3 linked regions of the Alligator mississippiensis genome follow. The protein of the gene in region 2 binds, or shares a complex with, the protein of the main gene of each other region. Links are inferred from orthologs where the notes say so. Each region holds a gene or a part of one and is shown on either strand. Other genes may lie near its edges.

Evidence for each region.
Region 1: UPF3B (region 2) and CASC3 share a complex: the UniProt entries of both Homo sapiens proteins name them as parts of the mRNA splicing-dependent exon junction complex. The link is inferred for Alligator mississippiensis from reciprocal best matches to the Homo sapiens genes UPF3B and CASC3.
Region 3: the proteins of UPF3B (region 2) and UPF2 are in contact, whole or in part, in a crystal structure (PDB 7NWU), measured with the Homo sapiens proteins. The link is inferred for Alligator mississippiensis from reciprocal best matches to the Homo sapiens genes UPF3B and UPF2. Residues at the interface, in NP_542199.1 of Homo sapiens: Lys52, Arg56, Arg57, Tyr79, Glu81, Phe83, Asn85, Asp86, Thr87, Ser88, Leu89, Tyr90, His92, Tyr94, Arg96, Tyr98, Ile130, Glu132, Pro135, Phe136, Lys138, Ala139, Ala140, Arg147, Asp148, Lys150, Val151, Gly152, Thr153, Ile154; in NP_056357.1 of Homo sapiens: Lys767, Arg768, Pro769, Pro770, Leu771, Glu773, Tyr774, Lys777, Lys790, Arg793, Gln794, Arg796, Lys797, Leu798, Pro799, Trp800, Gln801, Cys811, Ile814, Asn815, Trp817, Tyr837, Gln838, Glu839, Asp840, Ile843, His844, Val846, Asp847, Gly848.

Annotation. Positions count from the first base shown.
Region 1 is NC_081827.1:164,600,486-164,608,502, forward strand, and holds the start of CASC3 (protein CASC3), read right to left. Parts: upstream 3,015-8,017; 5' UTR 2,991-3,014; coding exon 2,757-2,990; intron 1-2,756. UniProt on the Homo sapiens protein: Required for pre-mRNA splicing as component of the spliceosome. Core component of the splicing-dependent multiprotein exon junction complex (EJC) deposited at splice junctions on mRNAs.
Region 2 is NC_081831.1:72,549,847-72,557,568, forward strand, and holds the start of UPF3B (regulator of nonsense transcripts 3B), read left to right. Parts: upstream 1-4,718; coding exon 4,719-4,874; intron 4,875-6,236; coding exon 6,237-6,343; intron 6,344-6,526; coding exon 6,527-6,633; intron 6,634-7,347; coding exon 7,348-7,446; intron 7,447-7,722. Other genes in the region: putative defense protein 3, read left to right, coding at 1-44, 682-746, 1,866-1,963; NDUFA1 (NADH dehydrogenase [ubiquinone] 1 alpha subcomplex subunit 1), read right to left, coding at 4,146-4,166, 4,259-4,348, 4,440-4,541. UniProt on the Homo sapiens protein: Involved in nonsense-mediated decay (NMD) of mRNAs containing premature stop codons by associating with the nuclear exon junction complex (EJC) and serving as link between the EJC core and NMD machinery.
Region 3 is NC_081827.1:13,570,540-13,578,170, forward strand, and holds the start of UPF2 (regulator of nonsense transcripts 2), read right to left. Parts: upstream 3,015-7,631; 5' UTR 2,860-3,014; intron 1-2,859. Other genes in the region: DHTKD1 (2-oxoadipate dehydrogenase complex component E1), read left to right, coding at 3,244-3,397, 5,049-5,204, 6,123-6,334. UniProt on the Homo sapiens protein: Involved in nonsense-mediated decay (NMD) of mRNAs containing premature stop codons by associating with the nuclear exon junction complex (EJC).

The DNA of each region.
Region 1 (8,017 bases), on a different chromosome or scaffold from region 2:
ACTGTTTGCGGTCTTGCTTATTGGACATGATCCTGCAAGACAACTAGGTAAATATCCAGCTAGTGGTAGAGAGAAACTTGTGCTCATGGTACAGGTCAGCACCTTCGAAAAGGGAGGCATAAGAAAGGTATACAGAAAGCTAAATTCAGATCAGTAAGAAAAACACATAAATCTATGACTGTACAGTATTAATCCCCCAAACACTTACAACACTAAGGGAGCTTCAACTCCCCAATACATTAAAAAAAATTCTGTAAAGAGGAGGAATTTGCCTCTACAGACAGAAAGGATGGACTCCCTTAATCAATATAGACCACCTGTTCAGAAAATGATATGGAGGATTATTTAAAAACTGGGAGCTGTGGAAAAGCCAACTGATACAGAGAAGCATGCAGCTGAGAGACACCTCTGCTGCAGAGGTCAATAATAGAAGTGTAACTTTGCATCTAGCACAGGAAGGGACAGAACTGGAGAAATTCAGACCAGAGGCAAAGTGCAGGGAAGAAAGAGTATCAGACTATGGAATTAAATAAAAATAGGTTTGTACTGAAAATAAAAACTGCCTGCATAATGAAGTAAAAACCAGGCACATCAGCAGCCCTGACAACAGAAGAGATACTTGAAACAAGAACTATTAAAATGCGGTGGACTAGCAAAGTGCAGTGGTAGTACAAGGCTCTCAGTTGCACAGGAAGGACAGCTGGCCTGGAGAGGTCGGAGCATAGCACCATCCCAAAGGAGCCCATCACATTCTACTGGAAAAGGGGAAGAGAAGCACAAGCCCCACCCCTACCTATTTTACCACTGGCCTCAGCCAGGAAAAGATACCACAATCACAAATAAGAAACGGCAAGTGTGTCAAAAGCAAAAAGCCAGAAGAACTAGCAGGTCCACTGAAAGCTCAAGAAAGGCAGAAGAGGTGTTTATAGCTAAGCCTCGTGGCCCCTGAAACCTATCAAACAACTTGGGATTCATGGGGCTGACAGGGGCTTTGAAGTCACAAGATTTAATTTCAATGCTATTTTGTTTGGCATTGATTTCTGACCAAATCAATCCCACCAGTCCCAACTGTTTCACAATTTTTAAATCATGAATTAAGGGTTAAGCAATATATTTAGCATCTGATCTATTGTCTTGATGCTCTGATGAAGACTTACTCACTTGCTACAGAATGTTAAAACAGCAGTAACCTAATCAAGCTGAAGTTATTAAATTAGAAGGCCAGCCCCAGGCCACCTCCTGAGCAACTTGCACATACAGATTCTTGTTGCCACAGCAGTAAGGGTGTGACTAAAAAAAGGATCATCTGTAGCTCTACTTTCTAGTTAGCCCAATAATTATTCTGACCATAATCTGCTATAATGGAGATATGCAAAAAGGGTCACTGGGCTCCTGTGACCTGTTAGTTCCTCCCTACCTGTTTAATAACCAGGGTTTAGTCATTTCTTTGGTGCCTGCAGACAGTCTGGAGCATACCACAGCAAATGCTAGACACAAATCTTAAGATAAAAACACTTTGGATTTCCCCTAGAACAAAGCCTTTTACTCTGGGATCCTACAGGACCATCATTCCACCCTAAGTACCTGTGAAGAATTGAGGTGGTATTTTTTCCTGAGGTCACCCGGGGCTAATTGAGTTAATCACCATTCAAGCCATACATCAATTTAATCTGGGACTGATTAGTCTGAGATCTGACTCCCATCAAAAAAGAGGTGGGACAATGATTTAATTTGAATAAACCACACTGTTCTGGGGCAAACTATTAATCTGGATATTTTCCAGGTACATATTCATTCATGGTAATAGAAAAGTAAGGCTGGAAGGGATCGCCAGAGGTCATTTAGTCCAGTGGTTCTCAACCGTCTTTGCACCAGGACTGATTTGTAAACATTGATGGTCAGTCCCAAAACAGTGCCCCTCACTCCGCACCCACTGCCTGCTACCCCCCCCAATGTGTGGGGCATGGGGGACCCCAAGCAGCCCAGACCTCTGCCACCCTGCAAAGGAAAAGCCACTGTTTCCCACGTTTTTCTCCTTTAAAGGAGAGTCCTTTTTTGCAGTTTGTTTGAGAAATGCTGATCTCCTCCCACACCCTGCCTGAGGCAGGATCACCCCTATCCAAACCATCATCTAAACGCTGCATAAGACCCAGGGTGCAACACTAGGAAAAAAAAACACCCTGTGTGAAGGAAGTATCCAACAACCAGCACAGCACTTAACCGAAAGTTACAATCTTTATAAATTCTCAGATGGGTAAATGGAATCTGCACATCGAGTGATAACACCAGACAGCCGCTAATGGATCTGCACATTGATGCCAGACGGAAGAAGAGAAGACACCAACCCAAGGCTTTTAAAGATCTGGGTAGACAAAGCCTTGGCTGGGATGATCTAGGTGGGGCTGGTCCTGCTCTGAGCAGGGGGCTGGACTAGATGTCTCCCAAGGTCCCTTCCAGGAAGAGTTTTCTATGGCTCAATGCCAAGGGGCTCGTCTGCAAAGGGCTGGGGTCTGCTGCAAAATAAACCTGCTCAACTCAAGAGGCATGAAGAAGAACACCTCTTCCCGTGGGACAGTGGGGGCTGATTCGAGCTTGCTGTCGGCTAGCAGGGACGTGCAGGCCTGGTCTGGGCCCCCTGCCTAGGCGGGGTCGGGGCTGGCACCATCTTGACGCCTGCGGCGATGCCGTGCTCGGCTCAGCGCCCCCGACAGCTCCGAGTCCCCCCGCGGTGACCACCCCCCCGCCGCCTCACTCACACACTCGGACTCGGGCGGGCTGTTGGCGGCGCCGGCCGCGCTGTCGGCCCCCCGGGTGCGGGCCGCGGGGGGGCCGGGCCCGGGGCCGGGGCTAGGGCCGGGGGCGGCGCGGTGCAGCGGGCAGGGGGAGGCGGAGCGGGCGGCGCTGCCCGCCGAGTCGGCGCTGTCGGACGCCGCCGAGTCGGAGTCGTCCTCGCTGTCCTGCGAGGCGCGCTGCCGCCGCCTGTCCGCCATCTTGCGGGCAGCCTGCCTGGCGCCGCGGGCGCGCGCGGGGGCAGACGGGTAGGCCCGCGGACTCCCGCTCCCGGCGTGCACCGCGACCACGCCCCCCCCCTCCTGCGCCTGCGCGGGGAAGGGGACGAGGCTTGGAAACTGCAGCTCAACGGCTTCCGGCCTACGCTATCCCAGGGCCCTTTGCGGCCAGACTCTGGTCACCCCCGCAATAGGGAGAAACCGGAAACCCGCCCCGACGTGCCCACGTGGCCTTTTACATCAGGGGCTCAGGAAGAGGCGGGGTATGATGCCATCACACTCCAGCTGAATGACGTCATCAGCCTACTTCGCTGTCCCCGGGAGGACTTGTCTCCTAACAGGGGTCCCTGGTTCTTGGCTCCCGCTCAGCAAACACGGGGGGGGCACCCAGCCACCCCCCCAGTAGTGGCACAGGCACACCCCTGTTCTTGCTGGGAAAAATCTTTCTGGGGGTTCATTCTACCAGAAATATTTCCCATATCAGTTCCTCGGTGACTTTCTAGGTTGTAATTATAATGTATTATTACCGCAAGATTTCAAGGCTGCTCAGTTTGCAGTTAAACAAAAACAAGGGAGATAGAAGCAGCTGTCACAATTACAGAGGTATTTCCCTGTTGAACATCCTCAGAAAAGTCACTGACATTATGGTACCCAAACTGCTGTCTCTAGGTGAAATAATAACCTGAAAGTCAGTGCAGTTTTCACTCCACCATTGATAACAATATTTTCAGTCAAGCAACTGCAGGACACGTGTAGAGAAAAACAACTACCACTGTACATAGCTTTCATCTCCCCAACAAAGGTCTTCGATAACAGTCAACAGACAGGGCCTTTTTACTGTTCTGAAGAAACTAGGTTGTTCCCCTAAGCTGTTGAACATCATTTGTTCTTTACATCAAGGTATGAAGGCAACTGTAGCGTATGAAAACAGAATCACACACCTTTGACGTCAACAACAGGGTGAAATGGCTGTTTTAGCCCCCATGTTCTTTAACATCTACTTTTCATTCCTGTTTCTTCATGCATTCAAGGACAGTGATGATGACATTTATCTTTGAACCAGACTAGAGGCTTGTTCAACATGTAAGGTGTAGAGCAAAAACCAAGGTGAAAGAGCTATTTCTTAAGAGATTTCCTGTTTGTGGATGATGCAGCCTTGGTTGCCTACAGTGAATCTTCCCTGCAAAAATCTCTTGGGCAGATTTTCTGAGTCATGCAGGAGCTTCAGGTTGAGACAATTAGTCTCACAAAACCTATCGTCATGTACCAAAGCCGGGGAAGAATTAATACCTAATATAACTCTGGGGGGTAAATCTCTTGGCGTCATCGACAGCTTTTGTTACTTGGGTTCTACAACCAACAGGAATTTTGACCTTCAGACTGAACAGAATCAGAAAAGCAGCTAAGAATTTTGGCCTATTACAGAAATGTGTGTGGAGTAACAGCAAAATGTCATCTAAGGTGAAGCTGCGAATCTACAAGGCTTGCATACTTGTCATCTCTGCTTTATGGTTCAGAAACAGACTACATATGCTAGGCACATCAAGAGACTGAACAGTTTCCATATGAGATGCTTACATAAGATCCTGAAAATAAAGTGGGAAGACAAAATACCAAACACAGAGGTGCTGGAGTGCATAGGACTGACACACTTAGAAACCACTATCAAGAAGAGAAGGTTGCGATGAGTCAGCCATGTCAGGAGAATGGGAGGAGACTATATCCCCAGGAATATTTTGTACTGTGAGATTCAAGATGGCTCTAGAAAGCAGGGTTGCCCTCTATGGCAGTACCCGGTGTGCAAAAATGCTATGAAGTCATTCAACGTTAATGCAGAAAGCTGGGAGAAGCGTGCAGAATCCTGTCCAATCTCGAGGGAACATCTGGCACTGGGTGCAGCACAACATAAAGTCACTTTGATCCAGAGGATGGAAGCAAAGCAAGAAAGGACGCAGTGTGCTATAAACCTGGACTCTAACTCAGACAACACGTGGATCTGTGAAACTTGTAACAAGCTGTGTTGTTCTCAAATTGGGCACAAGTAGATTCATCACACACCTAACTAGATCTCTTATGCAAACACCATGATCTAGAAGATCAACAGTTGCCTAGAATATTACTACTCATTTTTTTGCTTTCCTGGCCTATAATTTTCAGCCAGAAAAAGAGTACCTGCAGTTCCCACAGACATGGCAACTTTGGGCCAGTAGTGGGGGCCATGGTAGCTATCTTCCTCAGTCTCCAGTAAAGAGAGGCCTGAACAGGTATAGTGAAGCTATAGTTTAGGTGCCAGGGTAACTCCAAACAAGCCACACTGATGACACTGTTCCTGTGACATTATCTTCTGAACACACTTGTTTCCCTCCTCGTAAATCCAGGTAATCCTCCACCTCTTCAACAATAGGTCTTTATCTCTTGCCACATTCAGCATTTAAGTGCAGGAAGAGCAGCCCCTGAACAGCTGTTATCAACCAGCAGCAGCATCTCTCTGCCTTTTCACATGTCCCTTGCTTAAACTGTGTAAAAGAAGAAAAAAGAATGCATGTCATAGGCTTGATAAATTGTATGTGAAACAATATGCTAGGATATGCAGGCATACATTGACAAACCATCTAGATAACAGTGGTTAGAGACAAAGCAGGCCCCAGGAAAGCTTGGAAGTTAAACTGAAATAAAAACAGTTTCAGGAAACATTTTCTGTTTCTTAAATATTTGTTGTCTTTTAAAGAAAACTGGTTGTGGACTGCAGACTAATTTTAGAAATGTTCTTAATTTTTCTCCCTACACAAAAGGCAAGAAAAATAGCAAGCCAAAATAAGGGTTTGAGACAATCTGCCTTTCAACACATGCTAGGTTAAGATACCTTCTCACCCCCAATAGAAAAGTACAGCTGTCTGCCTCATGCATGTTTGCCGCTTTGGGAATAGTGTTACAAGCTTCAGAAATGTCTTTGCTTCTGTAACAAGTCTTGAATTATATACATGAAGAAAAAGGCAATCACCAGATTTATATTTTTTCTATTTTATTGTAAAAAAATTGGTTTCAATTCTTTAAACATACAAGCAGAATTGTTTAATACTCCCCATTAACACTGTTAAATCTAACAAACTGAAGCAGAAATTCAAAAAAAAATTAACAGCCACAATAGTTTTTATTTACAAATTGAACTTTTTATAAGATATTTACAAGACAACCATTTTACACATTAGAAATGGTATCAAAAGTATGCATTACAACAGACAACCATGTGTCAAATGGCCATAAAACAAGGCTGAAGAGTAAAGACAAGCTTTTAATTTTAATTTTTAAAAGGTTTTTAAGTTTTCTGACACTAGTTTAAAACTTGAATTAAAAAAAAAAGCAAGGTTTTAAACCAAAGAATAGTTCTAGGAGGGAAATTGCAGGGCTTTCTGTTGAGGATTGAATTTCACAGTGTTGTACCCCATATTGGGAGAAATAAGACTATCTTTCCACACTAACACTCAACTGCAAGTTTTGTTTTGTACTCCCCCACCCCAAAGCCTACTTCTGGCCCATCCCCACCCCTCCCTTTTGCTGATGAAAAGCCAATATATTAGTAAAAAGGACTGTTACAAAGCCTGGTTGCCTGTCTAAATGGCATGATGATGAAGAGTTTCAAAATGGCTTTGCACTGGGAAGTAAGGCCAGTTCAAGACTAGCAAATCAGAGCTGACTGTCACTGGAATTCAAAAAGGTGTTTTGCCCCCTGAAAAAAGCCACTAAGGCAAAGTATAACCAGAATACAAAACCTGCTCAATGCAGACCTGAAAAATGGACGTCATCAAGGAAAAGGGGGAGGGGGGGGGCAGCACACAGGGCAGGGCAGGGCTCCAGCTAGTATTTGCCTGTTTTACATTTTGGCTCCTAATTGCACAGGAATCCATTGAGGACACATGCTATCATGCTAAAAGCAGGACACTCAAGAACAGCCTTATTAAAAGGAAAAAAAAAAGGATGCAGTGTATAGCCCTATTTATGCAACCTCTGTAGCACCAGAGCCCATACCTCACAAGAGATTTTCCCCTCTAAAGGTGTTTTAGCCTCTCTTCCAGACTCCATGACTGCCTCAACTTCAGTATAAAAACGCAACTGTGTTAAGTTACAGATTCAGCCTCTCTTCCACATTGCATAATGATACCCCAGATATGGGGGGTTGGGGGAGGTGGGGGGAAGAAAAAAAGCAATGCCTTTTGTGTTTCTCTATTGTTTATCAAGTTGTTTGTGCCAAGCAGGAAAAAGAAGATCACTGTCTTTACACAACACTCAAAAGGAATCATTCAAGTGGGTCAACTTCTGTGGCCTGCTAACATCTTCAATACAAAGTTAACATTTTCACCCTTATACTAAAACTCCTCCCTGGACCCTTCCCCCAGCCACACGCCCTGCAGAGGTACCACTGCAACTCTCAATCAGACAGGTAAGTGCAGCAAAAGAGTAGGGGGAACATGGTCTTTCAAATCCAAAGAATCCGTTGCTCACTCACCCCATCTACATGGACTCTAGTTCACTTTGAAGCCTGAAAGGCCATGAAAGAACTCTGTCTTTGTAATTACAACAAACAGTAATAAATCAGGACTTCAGTAAGAGAGTTACTCAGACTAGGAGCTTTTGGCATCATCCATTAGTGTAAAAAACAGCAACGAAGGCTGGTTTCATAAAGGAAGGGAATCACTACAGCTAAAGCATAGGCACCATTCTAGTTGTCTCTAGCCAATCCAAGCTTCTTACAAAATACACAAATTGCCAGGCAGCGCTGTCCTTAAACATTTAAATAAAAATGAACCGAAATTGTGCGTATAGAATTCTATTTTCACAAAAAAGGCTTACAAACCCCCAGCCCCAACCCTCTTATATAGAAAAAAAATGACATTTGCTGGCAAAAAAGTCTGTAGAAGCATTTTCACACTGGTAACCCAGCTAGGAGGGTCTCACTAAGGAATATGCTAACCGATTTTTGACAAAGGTAACTAACTGTGTGTCTCATGGCA
Region 2 (7,722 bases):
TGGCTGCCCCTGAGCTCAGGCTGCCCTCCATTCATTGCATTCATGTAAGTGGATTTTCTGTTATTCCCCCACCTGCAGAGTCCCCTCCTCTTCAAGCAAGCAGCTCAAGCATATATTTTTCCCCTTTCTGTATCTGTACAGTACCAACATCTCCACCTTTTATGACCACATTAAAGTAGGATTTTCAAAAGCACCTAAGTGATTCCAGGGGACAAGTTCCATTGATTTCCAGGGGCTTCTGCACCCAGTCATTTAAGTGCTTTTGAAAATTCCACTAACATGAGAGGAACAATTAGCAATGGGGTCCCCAGAAAAGCAACAGCTGTACATGACTAAGACTGATTAATTCCCTGAGAGTTACAAGAGACTGAAGTAAAAGAACCTGCTATACTGCTAAAGGAAACAGCAAAAGATCCTGGAAAAAAACTGTATCCTGACCTCTTCTGGGGAAAGAAAAATCTTCAGCTATCAGACTGACACAGCTCCTTTCTGTATGTGTGCAATGGAGTGGATTTATTTTCCTATGAGGTTAGGCATATGCTACTACCTGCTAATGAATTTATGATGAAACACAGGCTGCTATGCAGAGCATCTCCAATAACTATAGGAATATTTTTGTAAAGCTGGGAAGGGGTCTTTCCCATTTGTAGTCATTGCTTTACGCTTTTTCCTTTTGAACAGAGCAACTGTGGCACACTCTCGTGAAACCTATTGGCTCAATATCAAATCCAAAATACTATGGAGAGGTGAGTAATTACTGAACATGTCATTACAACGTAGGGCAAATGTCCATTACCACAAAAAGGAGTTATATAGGCATTAAGCAGCACTGGTGTATCAGAAATATAGGGGATACTAGTATTCTATGTGCATGTCTTCTTTGAAATTGTTTTAATCATTCCCCCCCTTCATTACCTCATAGTCAAGCTGTATGTATTTAGCTCTTTTTATTCCTCTTCCTGACCTATATACTTCTGCCCCCAATATCCTTCCAGTTGTATTAGCATGATATCCAGACCTCTGTGTAACATTCCAGGTATCCTACGAGGGCATGATCCACTTGTTATTGATTTGCCACTGAGCAAATGTGATACTGAGCAAATGTGAGTTTTGCAGACAAAAAACAAACAGATTAGTTACCACATTAAGAGGCAACTCTCCAGCTCCAAGTGATAGGGATTGAAAAGGAAATTTTTGCATTAACTCCCACTGATGTTATATACCACAGGTATATCCCCAACTCAACAGAAGAGCAGCCCCTACTTTTGTTTCTGACTAGTCAGAAAACTTTCATAACCATGCTGAAGGCTAAATGATGCATTTTAATCTCTTGGCAATGTTGTTCTAGGACAGAGGTTCCCAAACTTTTTCTTACTGTGTACCTCTTTCCAGATTTATCAGCTGCCTGTGTACCCCCGCCAGCATGTTTTATATTTTAACACCTTAAAATGCCAGTTATTATTACAGTGAAAATTAAAACCGCCATTACCCTCCCCCAAGATGTCTTGCATACCCCCATGGGTATGTGTACCACAGCTTGTGAACCCCTGATCTAGGACAAGTCACACAAACTTTCTGCGGTTTCATCTGTCTCTTAGGTGCCCATACCTGCATCACCATTCTTTGCAAAAAATATCTTGTGAATGCAAAGGATCATTTCAAAGTTCATTGTGTTCTGTCCACTGCTTACTTTCTTTGCCAGACGAAGTGCAGGGATTACTGACCGAGAAGCAACTCAGGATTAACAGGAAAAGAAAAAACCTCCCCAAAGGTTCATATTAATTGCTTTGCCATGGTCTCCTCAATGATATATCCAAAACTAGTTATAAATTGAAATTAATTTCCATTTCTTCTCCAACGTACAGATCCTACAGCAACATGTGGCACTGAGAAGTTTACATGGACAGCTACCACTGTGATAGGCTTACTTTTCCACCTGCTGCTTTTGCTTAGCTGCATTTAGTAACCCGTGAAAATTAAGAGTATATCTACAACAGCTAAGGACTGTCACTGTTATTGGTAGCTAATTTTAATTGTATCTATAATAAATACAACTTTTAAGGCCTCAGCTACATGTAAAAGTTGTACCACAGCTCTATTATAGAATCTCCTGCTGTGGACTTGTTTAACTTTCTCCATGTTCACCCTAGGAACAGCATAGTGCTATGTGAAAGAATGTTATATCAGCATAACTGCATCCACACTAGGTGCTGTACCAGTATAACTGTGTTGGTTAAACCCACCACCAAAATAATTATAACAATAAATAACCAGCGTGTAAACTAGATCTACGATTAAGGTGGAGTGGTAAAAAGCCCTAGTGAAATTTCCAAGCATCCAGGAATCAGGCTTGCTAAGAAATAAAATCAATAGAGTGATTTTTAACTTCATTCTAACCGAGAATAATAAATGTTACAAGATCACCACTTTCTGTCTGTGAGCAGAATGTGTGTGTCTGAGCAGATGAATGCTAAGAGTATCGCTACACTGCTGTATGCTTTTTTGTTTAAAAAAAAAAAAAAGGGGGGGGGGGCTTGAAACAAGACATGTTAGAGATGTAATGCAGGAAGATACCTGTTGTAATAAGACAAATAAACATCAGTTGTATTGCCTAGGTCAGGGTCACCAACCCCTGGCGTATGTGCCAGAGCATGGTATGCGAGGCCATTTTGTTAGGCATACCACAGCCAGCCCAGGCTCTGTGCAGCTGCAGCTGACCATGTTGCAGCCAGGAGGCTGTGAACAGCTGCACTGGGCTCTGGAGCCCTGGGCAGCCTCTGTGGCGGGTGCACACAAACCTCAAGGTAGATAGTGGGGGAGGGGCCTGGGGCAGCACAATCCTGGCCCTTCCACCACTAGTGATGGTGCCCTGCAACCCAGTGCAGTTGTCTGTAGCCTGCCCACCAGCTGCTGCAGCTGCCTTGAGCCTAGAGCTCTGCCACTCGCCTAGAGGCGCATGTGCACCAGCCACTGCCATGTAGCCCGGTGCAGCTGGTTGCAGCCCTCCTCCAGCCTGGACTCTGGGCAGCTGCAGTAGGCAATGGGCAATTTCCAAACAGCCGTGCTGTGCTCCTGAGCACCGGCACCGGCTCCATGCTGACGGCAACTGCACACATACCTAGGGGCACAGGGTGGGGAAGGGGCCAGGGCAGTGTAACCCTGGCCCCTCCTCTGCCGTCTGCCCGGAGGTACACACGCAGCCACCGCCAGCAATAAGGATCGGGCCCCTCACAACTCCCCCACAGTCTGCTCCTGGCATGCCAACTCAAGGCATGGGTCTGGGGTGGGGTGTTTTTGGCATTATGGCCAAAGACGCTGCTGCCCCCTGACCTAGACTGTGCTATACTCCCACTTTTGTTCCTCAGTTTTGTGCAGGCTAGTAATACACATTCACATTAGTAAGCTTATACTCCAGAATTTCTCAGAGGTGTAATCATTTCATTTATTCAACTAAAACAAGCAATGCCTTCACTGCTGCAGGATGCACACTCCAACTTCTCCTTTTCAATATGGAGGACCTACAATTGCTTAGATTGTACTTGGCGATTAATGTACAAATCAGAAGCCAATATCTGTAACAAGTCAAAAGTCTTGGCTTTTATCAGCATTGCAGCATCAACAAAGCTTGTTTTTTGGGGGTTTTTTTTCAGTTAACATTGGTTTAATAGCCTGTTAAAAGTGTGGCAAAAAATAATTAGTTAGTGTATGCCTATATCTCTTCCTTAGCAATCTTATCCTCCACTAACGTGTGGCAAACATGTCATACATTCATAGATAAGGCTGGAAGGGACCTCAGAAGATTATGGGGTCCAGCCCCCTGCACCAAGCAGGAGAGACAACGGGGCGAGGTGACCCCAGCAAGGTGACGGTCTCAGTCTCCTCTTGAAAGAGGAGTCAGCTAAAACAACGTTTACAACACGAACTCCCTAGTCTTCCGCAAGACCTCGCACACCTACTCTGCAAGGCGTATGAGCCGACGCGATATTCCCACCGCCTCTTTTGAAAACATCACGGCCACAAGCGCAAAGACCGATCCCCGCCCACCGGTCTGCGTACAACATATAAAACACACCGCCTCACGTAGACATGCGTGTTTATTAGAACGATACTGCTTTTTACGGTTTTTCTGTCAAGAAGCTCACTTCTTAGTCGATGTTCTCCAAGCCCTGCAACGCAGAAGAAAATAAGTGAAGTCTCTGATGACACGTCCCCCCCGCCCCCGGGGAGCAGTTTGGCAGGGGTGACGAGGAGCACTTGCCTTGCTGCGGTGGTATATGTTCACGCCCGACACGAAGCGGTCCCGCTCCATCAGCGTCCACTGGAAGTGGTTCCGCGCCGCCCGCTTCTCCTGCGCACGCAGAGGGCAGGGGTGAGGCGCGCCGCCCGCCCAGCCCCAGCCCCAGCCCCAGGCCCAGCCCCAGCCCCGCCTCCAGCCCCACCTTGCCGCCGTTGGAGTAGCGGTAGAAGTAGGTGAGTGAGATGCCGGGCACCACCAGGCACAGCCACGTCATGCCAGCGAAGGGCAGGATCTCGTACCACATCGCTGCGCCGCCCTTGTCACCGCCACCAGCACCAGCGCCAGCGCCGCCACCCCACCATGCACCGCGCGACCCAGCAGGCCCCGCGCGGGGCAGCCCGATTGGCTCCGCCGAGCTGCAGCGCCGCGCTGCATGCCGGGACCCCTCCCTCGGGGAATCCCGCGAGAGCGGCGGCGGCCAATGGGCGTGCGGGGGCGTGGCCGAGCCGGCGGGATGAAGGAGGACAAGGAGAACACCAGGCCCAAGGAGAAGCGCGGGGTGCCCGCGCCGCCCCCCGCACCGCCCCCCGCGCCCGACGCCGACCGGCCCAAGGACAAGAAGGAGACGCTCAGCAAGGTGCGGCCGGCACCCGCCCCCCCCCCCCCCCCACAGGGCCCGCTCCGCAGTCGGGCGGCTCTGCCCGCAGCTGGCCGGGCTTCATGGCGTGTCACCGGCGTCATGTGTGCGGCCGGCTGCGTTTCTTGCGCGTGTCATTCCGGTCTCCGTTCATCGCATGCTTTTGCCGGGGGTGTGCAGGGCGTGTGGCCGGGCTGTGTTGATCCCGCGCTTCCCCAGGGACTTGCGTGACGTAGCGGTGGAGCGCAGGTGCGAAGGTCCCGGGTGCTGAGTGGGAAGGTCCTCGAGCCCCGCGGCCGGGAGCCGGGAGCGACAGCAGCAGTGGAACGAGCCCTGGTCGGGCCGGTTGCTCTGCCTTTCAGCATTCGCTCTCTGCACCCGTGTGACGCAGACCTGCGTGTTGTGTTGCTGGGCAGGGATGGGTAACATGGCGGATCTGGGCCCTCTGCCTGCATGGCTGGGGCTGGTCCCCATGGAGACCCCAGCCATTGTGACAGCACAAGGCTGGGGTTGCCATGGAGACCAGCCTCAGCCACACTGGCAGGGGGCAGGGCAGGGCAGGGGGCTGCTCTGGAGCTGCTGGGATCTTGTGGCCAGGGCGGTTTGGTCCGGGGCCAGGGCAGAGCTGCGATCTGCCATCTACATGCTCTGGGTGGAGATGTGCAGGCGGCAGATTGTGGCTCTGCCCCGGCTCGGGACGTGGCTGTCACTGTTGCAAGGAGCCAATACAGAGCCGCAATCCACAGCCTGCGCACCCCTACCTGAAGCATGCAAGTGGCAGCTGGCCCCGGGCCAAGCTGCCCCCACTGCAGGATCCCAGCAGCTTTGGAGCAGCCCCCTGCCCTGCTCTGCCGGGTGCCCTGCCAGCTCAGCTGGGGCTGGTCTTCATGGCAACTCCAGCCTTGCACTATCATAGTCAGCAGCTGGAGTCTTTGCCCCAGCGGTGTGGGCAGGGGCTGCTGGGAAATGGAGTCCACTGCCAGCTGGGTCTGGCCCACAGGCCAGACTTTGTCTGCCCCTGGCCTAGGCCCACCAAGTCTTATTATAAGCCTGCCAGAAGAGTGAGGCCACTATTGGGTGTGACACAGGAGTCTGGGCAAGAGGGACCTATGGTCTGATCCAGGAAATGTCAGTTCTTATGATTTAATGTGTGGCAGGGGCCTCAGTTATGGATGTGGCCCAAGGCTGCTGCTGCAGGGCATTTCCCCCAAGCCTTGCGTAGACCACAGGTCTGTTATCGTGCAACGTCTCGGGTAATGAGCTCAGTGGAAACGGAGGGGAGATGACATTATCTTCTTACCCTGTCTCTTTTGTTTCTATCTCTTCCCACCCTCACCCCCCTCCCCGGCATCACTGGGTCAGGTTGTAATTCGGCGCTTGCCTCCCAGTCTGACCAAGGAGCAGCTCGAGGAACATCTTCAGCCTCTGCCTGAACATGACTATTTTGAATTCTTTGCCAATGATTCCAGGTGCATAAAGTTTGGGTTTGAGGTGGGAGGTTTTTGGGTTTGTTTGGAGGAGGGTGTTTAGCACATGACTCCACTGTGTTGGAATGGACCGTAAGCGTATACTTGTAGTTCCTATAACTAGACTAATCAGCAATTCTATCCAGCTTAGTTTCCCCTTATGTTGCTTGTTTTTGTCTCTTGCAGTTTGTATCCTCACATGTTTTCCCGAGCCTACATCAACTTTAAAAACCAAGAAGACATAGTACTATTCAGGGATCGTTTTGACGGTTATGTTTTTGTTGATCACAAAGGCAAGTACTCAAAATGTGGTTATATACTTAGTATCTTTTGACTTGTATATCAGTAGCCTTAGGTGAAACATAGTTATGCTGAGGTAAAAGGGGAAAGAGATTATTTACTTTGTATCGTTTCCTTTACAGTAGTTCCTGCCTGGTCATTCTTACCCTGCAGCAAATGAAAGCTTAATTATTGTGCTTTAATCCTTTCATGGGTCTAAACATCACTTTTGAAATGCATACGTATTCTGTGGCTTTGAACCCCAGTAATTCATGTAATCTTTTTGCAGTAATATATTGAATCTATGCATCTTAATATGCTTGCCATTCAGAAGAAACCTTGAAAAAAGATTCTGGCTATTATGCATGGATGTTACATTCTACTGGATATTATCAAGATTAGGGATTTTTTTTTTCCCCAGTTACTTTTAAAATCACCTTCTATTCACACAATGAATGAAGCAGGGGAAGTGTACAGGGGGAAATGGGGCATGACCATAACGCATAAATATAAAATGTAATGGGCATCCTTACTACTAACACTTCTGAGTGCTAGTCTTTGTAAATTTAGCATTCATTTAATGCTGTTTTTCAATGTATTCTGTTTATAGTCTGTAAATGAAATATCTAGTTAGATGTTCTAGGGTTGCCTGTTTCTTGTAAGCATCTGTCCTAATGTAAAATAGTGGCAGACATTTAAGTTATTGTGTATTTTGTTCTGTATAACAGGTCAGGAATATGCTGCCATAGTGGAATTTGCACCATTCCAAAAAGCTGCAAAAAAGAAGAGTAAGAAAAAGGATGCCAAAACTGGGACTATTGACGATGGTATAACAGCTAGAGTTGTTTGTTTGTATGTGTTTATATCCATCAGCTTATACATGAGGCAGAACCATCTTACAGCAAAAATGTGAATGTTTTTTCCACAAGTTACATATCATACTTGTTAAGTTTAAAGTTTGCAGGCATTCTTTTGTGATGCTAATGTTACATAGTAAAAAAACATTCTCCAAAATGTCTTCAAAAGTATTATTGTGGTGCCTCATGGCTGCAATTAAAGGTCATGATCCCTTTGTATTAAACACTATGCAGGCAGGCAGTGAA
Region 3 (7,631 bases), on a different chromosome or scaffold from region 2:
AAAAAACCCCACACCATATACTAAAACTCAAACATCTACCATAACACATTTTAATTTTATTTTGAAAAATATTTTTGTCCTGACTTGCACATGTTTGCATCGTGTGTATAGAGGTGATTGTAATAACTCAAGATAAATTCCCAGTCTATGTGCCATTGGGCCGGGCAGGCTCTGTGCTCCCAGATCTGGCCCGTGGGCCATATCTTGCCTGCCCCTGGACTTAAGGCTTCTGCTGGTTGATGGCTGGGAGCCAAGAGGAACTTTTTTCCCTATGAACACGTTACTAGCTTCTACTAGTTTATTTGTCTTCCTCTGAAGCACTGCACCTGGGCCACTGCAAAGGGTGAGGATCTGGCTAGGGTGATCTGGTGCTCCAGAAACTAGGAGTATTTATAAGCCTTTAAGTGTCTATTTGATGTGCCTGGATCATGCATGAGTCAAATATTGCCAGATTTGGGGGCAGGCAGCAATTTTCTCCCAGGTCAGATTGGCCAGGACCACTGTGGTTCTCCTGCCCTTGTCTGTGGCGCAGGCCTTGAACCTTTTGAGAGGATCATCTGAGCATCTTTTTACCCAACTAATTTTCTGCCAATGCAGTATCAGGGTGGTTCCTTTGTCTCTCCTGCTCTTTACTTGGGTCTGTTGTTACTTTTTATTTCATAGGGTTCTTGTGGTGTGTAAGAAGGGCAGAAGTGTCCATTTTTGATAAATGGTTGCCTGCAAACACAGGGACTGGTCTCTGCTCTAGAAAGTCCTTGCAGTCCTTTGTTTCAATGCAGGTGCTGTATGTATTGTGATCAAGTCATAACTTTCCCTTTCAGAAACTGCATAAATCAAGCTCTTTTTTAGTTTCTCACCAGAAAGTATATTTAATCATCTAATCATCCTTGTGGGTCTCCTCTGAATAGTCTCCAATTTTTCAATGCCCTTCTTGAAGTGTAAACACAAGATCTGGTCTCAGGAGACGCCACCAAGAGACACCCCCACTGCCAAATACAGAGCTACTGTAACCTTCCCCTCCTATTCTATATTCTCGTGTACACACAAAATGCATAGCCTTTTTATCAAAAACATACTACAAAGGGTTCTTGTTCAGCTGATTATCTATTGTAACACCCAAGTCCTTTTCAGAGCCACTGCTTCTTAGGATAAAGCTAGGATCTTCCCACTTTTCTGACTTGAGCTCTCTGTTCCTAGGTGCCTGATCTGACATTTGACTCTGTTAATATTGTTTGCTTGCATCCAGCATGGCAAGAGATCCAGATCCAGGGTGACCTGTCCTTTTCATTCTTTACCACTCACTTCAACTTTATTAGTAATTATTTTATGTTTCCTTCCCAGTTAGTGATAAAATATTAGTTAGCCAAAATCTCATCTGTGCAAGCCTTCATCAGGAATACACCCACCTGATGATTTAATTTTATTTTTGAGAATAACTAGTTAGCCATTTTTAATCAATGTAATATGCGCCACATTGATTTTGTAGTGCTCTGGTTTCTTAAAGAAAAATGTCATGCGTTACCAAGTCAAATGCCCTACAAAACTTTAAGGGCTTCTCTGTACTTAAAGAGCTTCCGCCTCTACAGCTGTGCCAGCATAGCTCTGTCTGCAGAGCCACCTTGAGGACACAGAGGTTTTCTGCTAACATATCTATACCTTCTTCCTGTGTACATAAAATAAGCCAAGCCAAGATAAGCACTCTTTTGTAGGCATAGTTACATCTGTATCAAGGGTTTTACTGACTTAGTTTTATCAATTAGGAGATGTAACTTTTAGTTTCGTGCAACATTTCTGTGCCAGGAAAACCTTGTCGTATGGAACTGGCCTGAGTACATGTAAAGTTCATTAAACAAACTTGTAATCTCATAAAAATAGAAAATGCATTTTACAAAATCAGAGAGAAAACTTTGCCTTGTTTTTCTATTTCTTTTCCCTGTAAGTCAGGCATGTTTTAATGAGCATAGCATTCTTTCTGGATTGTAACTACTGGACATCTAGTTCTTCATTTTAAACGATCGGTCAAGTTTTTCTGTTCAAATTCTTGTTCATGGCTCATCTAGTTCAAAATTGTTTTCAAATGGGTGATATTTGCCTTTTTGAAGCACCAAGTATATACCTTGCTGGTTGGGTATTTATTATGATTATGCATAATAAATGGAATAAAGCAATGATCGCTTGCACCTAAATAGCCATTAACTGTGAATTCTCTGACCACTTCCATTCATCTGTGCAGACGCGTGTCAAAATAGAATTGTTCATGTTGGATGAAACATTCTTAATTAAGAAAATGGCATCTATCATTTGGCATCTATCATTTTTAAACATTTCAAGTACATTTTAGAAGTCATCACTGAGACTAGGAGTTGTTTAAATAATCCATTTCCACTTAAAGTGGATACCAAAAACACCTGGAAATTAATAGGAAGAAGAGAAAGCAGCAAAGTACCTGCTCAAAAAGCGGAGGGAGACAACAGATAATCAATCACCTAGCGTTCTCGCCGCAAATACAGCGGACAAATCTCTCAGCAGCTATACCGCTATCAGAGTAGGGGCGAACACAAGCAAGGCAGCATCGAGGACAAATTATCCGAATTTTACAGATGGAGAAATATAAAGGGGACGTGCGATGTGCCAGAAACCCAGGAGCATCGCCTCCTGGCCCCAAATTACCATCAGTTTTAGATGCAACAATTGGATTGTCTTGGCTTACTTCATCCCGGCACCACTATTCAGCCCAGTAGAAAGGATACGGTCCTCAAGACATCATCCCGCCCAGCGCGCGCACCAAGGGGGAAGAAGCCAAAGCCGAGGAAAGCTCGGATGCTACAAAACAGACCTTTTGTTGTTACTTCACCTCACCTGAGGGCTAACCTATAGTTCTGGGCTACGTTTCCCACAGCTGACTAACCAGGTACGTTTTCTCCTCATCTTGGCCTGTCGGGGTGATGATACATTTCAGGTGGTTTCCATATAAACCAGCAGTTGACTGAGCCTAGCAAGGCCCCACCTCACGCCCAAACCCTTGCAACCTGGTCCTCAAATCACTGTTTATTTGGCCCAGCGCAGGGAGGGGGCGACACCCCACGTCTCCTCGCCCGCCCGCCCGCCCGCCGTCTCCCCCAGCAGGGGGCGGGGCCGCCCCGCTCGGCCCCGCCCCCGAGCGGGCGGTCCAATCCGAGCTGGGGGCGTTGTCCGGCCCCGCCCTCTGGCGGCGTGGAGCGGAGCGGAGCGGAGCGCAGCGCGATGGCCCTGGCGGCGGCGGGTCGGGCCGGGCCGTGGCGCGCGGCGCTGGGGGCCCCGGGGCGCTGCTACCGCACCGAGCGCGGCGTCTACGGCTACCGCCCGCGCCGCCCCGACAGCGCCCGCGCCGCCCGCCCAGATAGGGCGACAGGGGCCGGTCCGTCTGTCTGGGGGGGTCTGCCTGTCTGTCTGTCTGGGGGGGGTCTGGGTCTGTGTGTCTGCCGGGGTGGGGGGGTCAGTGCGTCCCGGCTGCCTTGGTGATGGGGGTCTGGGTGCGCAGCATGGCTGGTGACATCAGGGTTCAAAGTCCAAAGCCCCGGAGTGGCTGGTGGGTGATGGCCGGGGCCAGCTGGGCTGAGCCCTGACCTCCACGCGGAGCCGGGGTGCCTGGCACCTGTTGCCCCGGGGAAGGGATAAGGTGGCTGAGCTCAGCAACGTTTTTGGGCAGAGTGCCTAAAACACCTGCAGCTTGGACTTGTAGGACGCTGGCGTGCCCGGGGCAGAAGGCGGGGGGCTGTGAGAGGCTCTGCTGCAGCTGGACCGGTGGCAGGGACAGACATCAGACTGATATGCGCTGGGCACCAGACGGGGTTGCCAGGCCCCACTGCAAGCACAGCTGCTCCGGCGGGGGTTATTTGACCCCAGCAGTCTTTCCTGCCCAGAGCAGGATGAGCTCACAAGGTCCCTTCTAGCTCTAAACTTCTGTGAATCTGTGATGATTTGCTGCCAGAAGAGCACAGGCCCCTGAGGTTTCCTCTGCCCCTGGTGCTTGGGACTTCAAAACAAAGCAAAACCCTAAGCAGCGTCTTGGAGACGCGTGGGCTGGCTGCAGCTTGGGTCCCCCTTGGTGGTGATCCCGGAGCTAAGTGCTGGGGTGATGTAGTCATGCAACACGTGCGGAGTGAGAGGGATTGTGCAAGTGAGGTGATTAACTCCTCACCCTGGGTGGTTCATCTATGTCTACCCTTCACAGCCCCCAGCCAGTCACATTTGCGTAGGGCTGGAGAGACATGGCCCAGAGGGTACAGGCATATCTCTGTCCCCAGATGGAGAATGCAAGCAGATGACTATGTCCACTTGTGGCAGCGCAGCCCTGGCTCCTTCCCCACTCTCTGCCCTGAGGTGCACGTGCTAAGCAAAATGCCTTTGCATGCCACACTCTGGTGCCCGTGCCAGGGGTTGCCTACCCCTGCTCTAGAAGGTGCTTCTGTGGGGACTGGTGTTAGGAAACATGCAGCCGTATGGTCCCGGCCTCAGAAAGTTTACAGGGGACGACAGAGGGATGCAGGCAGCCGCTGGGAGCAGTGAGGTGGTACTGCTCAGCATGATGGGCAGGGGTCACTGCGCATCAGGGGTCTCATGTTGAGTTTCTTGTGCTCATCATAGCTGGAGAGATTTGAAATAAGGGAACAAGGTGGCTTTTCAGATATTTAATGGGAGTCCCCCTTTGGTGTACTATGTGATAAAGCATGGAAATCTATTGAGTTGGGCATGCGAGGTGAGCACAGTGAGGCGGGTGGAGGCGGGAGTCACCTTCTCCATATTCAATGGGAGAGGATAGATGGGGTGAAGACAGGTTGTGAAGCACCTTGAAAGCGAAGACAAGCCATAAGTGTGTGTCTATGGGGAAGAAGTGGAGGGGGTGAATGAAGAATAGTGATATGGGTTAAAGAGCTGAGCTCAGGAAGTGATCTTGGCATTTTGGATGCATGTCAGTGGGGGAAGATGCAGCATCGTCTCAAGGGTGAATGAGTGAAGAGTGTACGTGCTAACAGCGTTCTCTGTTTTTTTCCCTTTTGTACCTTTAGTTGACCACGGTCTTGCCCGTTTAGTAGGGGCGTACCATGAGCACGGCCACAAAGCCGCCAAAATTAACCCTTTGTTTGCTGGTCAAGCGGTGTTGGATATGGTACCTGAAATTCGAATGCTGTTGGAAGTTCTTCAAGGGCCTTTCAACATCACAGGTAAGTCTGTACCACAGAGCACGTCTCCCCAGCATAATGCAGTGTCCCAAGTTAGGTCGGGTATCTTCATGGGGCACAGCATTGTGTGGGTAGACAGGTTCCAGTGCCCAGCTCACTTGAGTTATGTTTGAAATCTGTCAAATAAAACCATTGAATTTTCTCTTCTCTGCTGCTAAATGAGCATGAGGTAATATAGCAATCTCACCACAACAGACTGATTACGTGCTCTGTCCTGAATGGCATAGCCATGTGTTAGGTAGCTGTTCAGTGATGTAATGCCAAATGAAAAATAATTTCTCTTGACTGATTTTACACTATTTACATTCTTTTATTCTGTCTATGACATCTGCAAACTTAGGTTATCATGTTTCCTGAAATCACGTAAGTATTCCCTGTAACTGTTCAGATAGCTACCCAGGTTACTTAATGATAGTACAGTATTACAGCAGTGACTGCGGTACTGGAGTGGAAGTCATGAGATCTGACTTCTATTCCTAGCTCTGTCCACTAACTTAACATGGTCTTGAGCAACTCCCAGAACTTCTGCATGTCTTGTCTGTCCATCTGGGAAATTAGCATTGCACAATACAAATGAATGTCAAAGGACCTTGATCATCTCTGAGCTTCACAATGCTCGGTACAGTACAAACACAAGATGCCAAAACCCAGACCCTGCCCTGGAAGAGTTTGGAGTAATATTTCAAACACTGCAAAGGAGAATGAAAAGTACCATCTAAGTCCCAAGTATTAGGAATGGTAATTCTGAAGTTTCTTGAGACCTTGGGCTTCAAATGAAGAACAGAGGGGCAGAAAGTGAAACTGTGCTTTCAAACTGTAGTTCCTAGTTAGCAGTGTCCTTAGACTGCTAGCCATTAGAGTGGCTAATCCCTATGGGCCTTCCAATCTCTTTTTGACCAGGACTTCTGAACATGGGGAAGGAAGAAGTGTCCCTAGAGGATGTGCTGGCTTACCTTGATCACGTATACTGCGGGCACATTTCTATAGAGACGAGCCAGCTGCCAAGCCCAGAGGAGAGACACTGGTTTGCTAAAAGGTTTGAGGAGCTAAAACAAGAAGCATTTACAACCGAAGAGAAAAAGCATTTGTCCAAGTTGATGTTGGAGTCCCAGGTACGCTGCATGTCTTTATGGCATTGGTACATAGCGATCTAGCCATGGACTAGAATGTCCATTGTCCAAACACCAGATCAAAAGGGGAAAAAGAAGCCTTTGGTCCAAAAAAGGTTATGATCTACATGCATTTATTTCTGATTGCCAAGATACGGGTTTTGTCTGAAGGTTGTAGCACAGAAATGAAATAATTCTAACTGGAGACAATTGCAGAAGGCACAAGAACAGGGATTCCTCAAAGAAACCGCAAGGCTCTGCAGCTACGAGTTGAGTGTTTCAGAAAGTGTTTTTTAGCAGGGGAAAATATTTCGGGGCAGTGACAAACCAAAGGGGTCTCTTCAACCAGAAGAGGGAATGGCATAGCACAGCATATTTTAAAAAAGAAACCCAGCATGCAGTGCTTTTAGGCGACGTTCTGCAAAACATTTGACATTCTAGGAAAGCCAGTAGGGCAACTTGTGAATATTCTGAAAAAAGAGGAAATACTCCAAAGTTGCTGGCCCGATGTTTTTGTATTAGACGTGGAGGCTGCAGAAACAACTGGGCATTGCCCTCAAAGGAACTTAAGACGTATGTGATGCTGTTGCACTGCTCTGTATTTCCTTCTCAGCTTCTGCTTCTGTTTTCAGTCATTCTCTGACTCCTTGTCACCTTCTAGTCCTAGTCCCTTTCAATAGGGATCAGTTTGGGAAGGAAGGAAACCTGCCTTTGTTTAGAGGGGCGAATGGGAGTGAGATCAGGGTTCTGGCAGTGTTGTCCCGAGGAGCTGCCTACACACCTAGTGCTGGCAGAGCATTTGGCAAAGTCATTCTTGCCTCGTTCCCTGTGTAGGGCAGTGAAACGCTCCCTGACTGAGTGTGTGGGCTGGCTGTACTACGGGACACCAGCCAAATATTTTTCATATTGTAAATTTTTGTGGGTGGTTTTGTTTTGTTGCACTGTCTTTTGTTTTGTTCAGCGTGGATCAAGGGCACAAGAGCAGGTTACATGAAGGTGTCCCTGTCTCCAGCTGTTTGGATAGGGATTGTTAAACCTCACCCTTCTGCTTGGCAAGTCATTAGTGCTACCTGGTTTATTTAATTTAATTCAATTCATGTCTGTCCCAGTGTCAGCCTGTGGGCCACGTGAAGCCCATGAGGGGTTAATGTGCCCCCCCCAGGCATTTACTCAACTGCTACTCCTCCCCTCACCATCATTCTGGCTGCAATAGCAAGTCTTTCCAGGCTTCCCACTCCTTTCTCTGGCTGCTGTTTCCTGCTTTTGCCCCAAGGCATGAGGCAGTGGAGAGAGCTGAGGG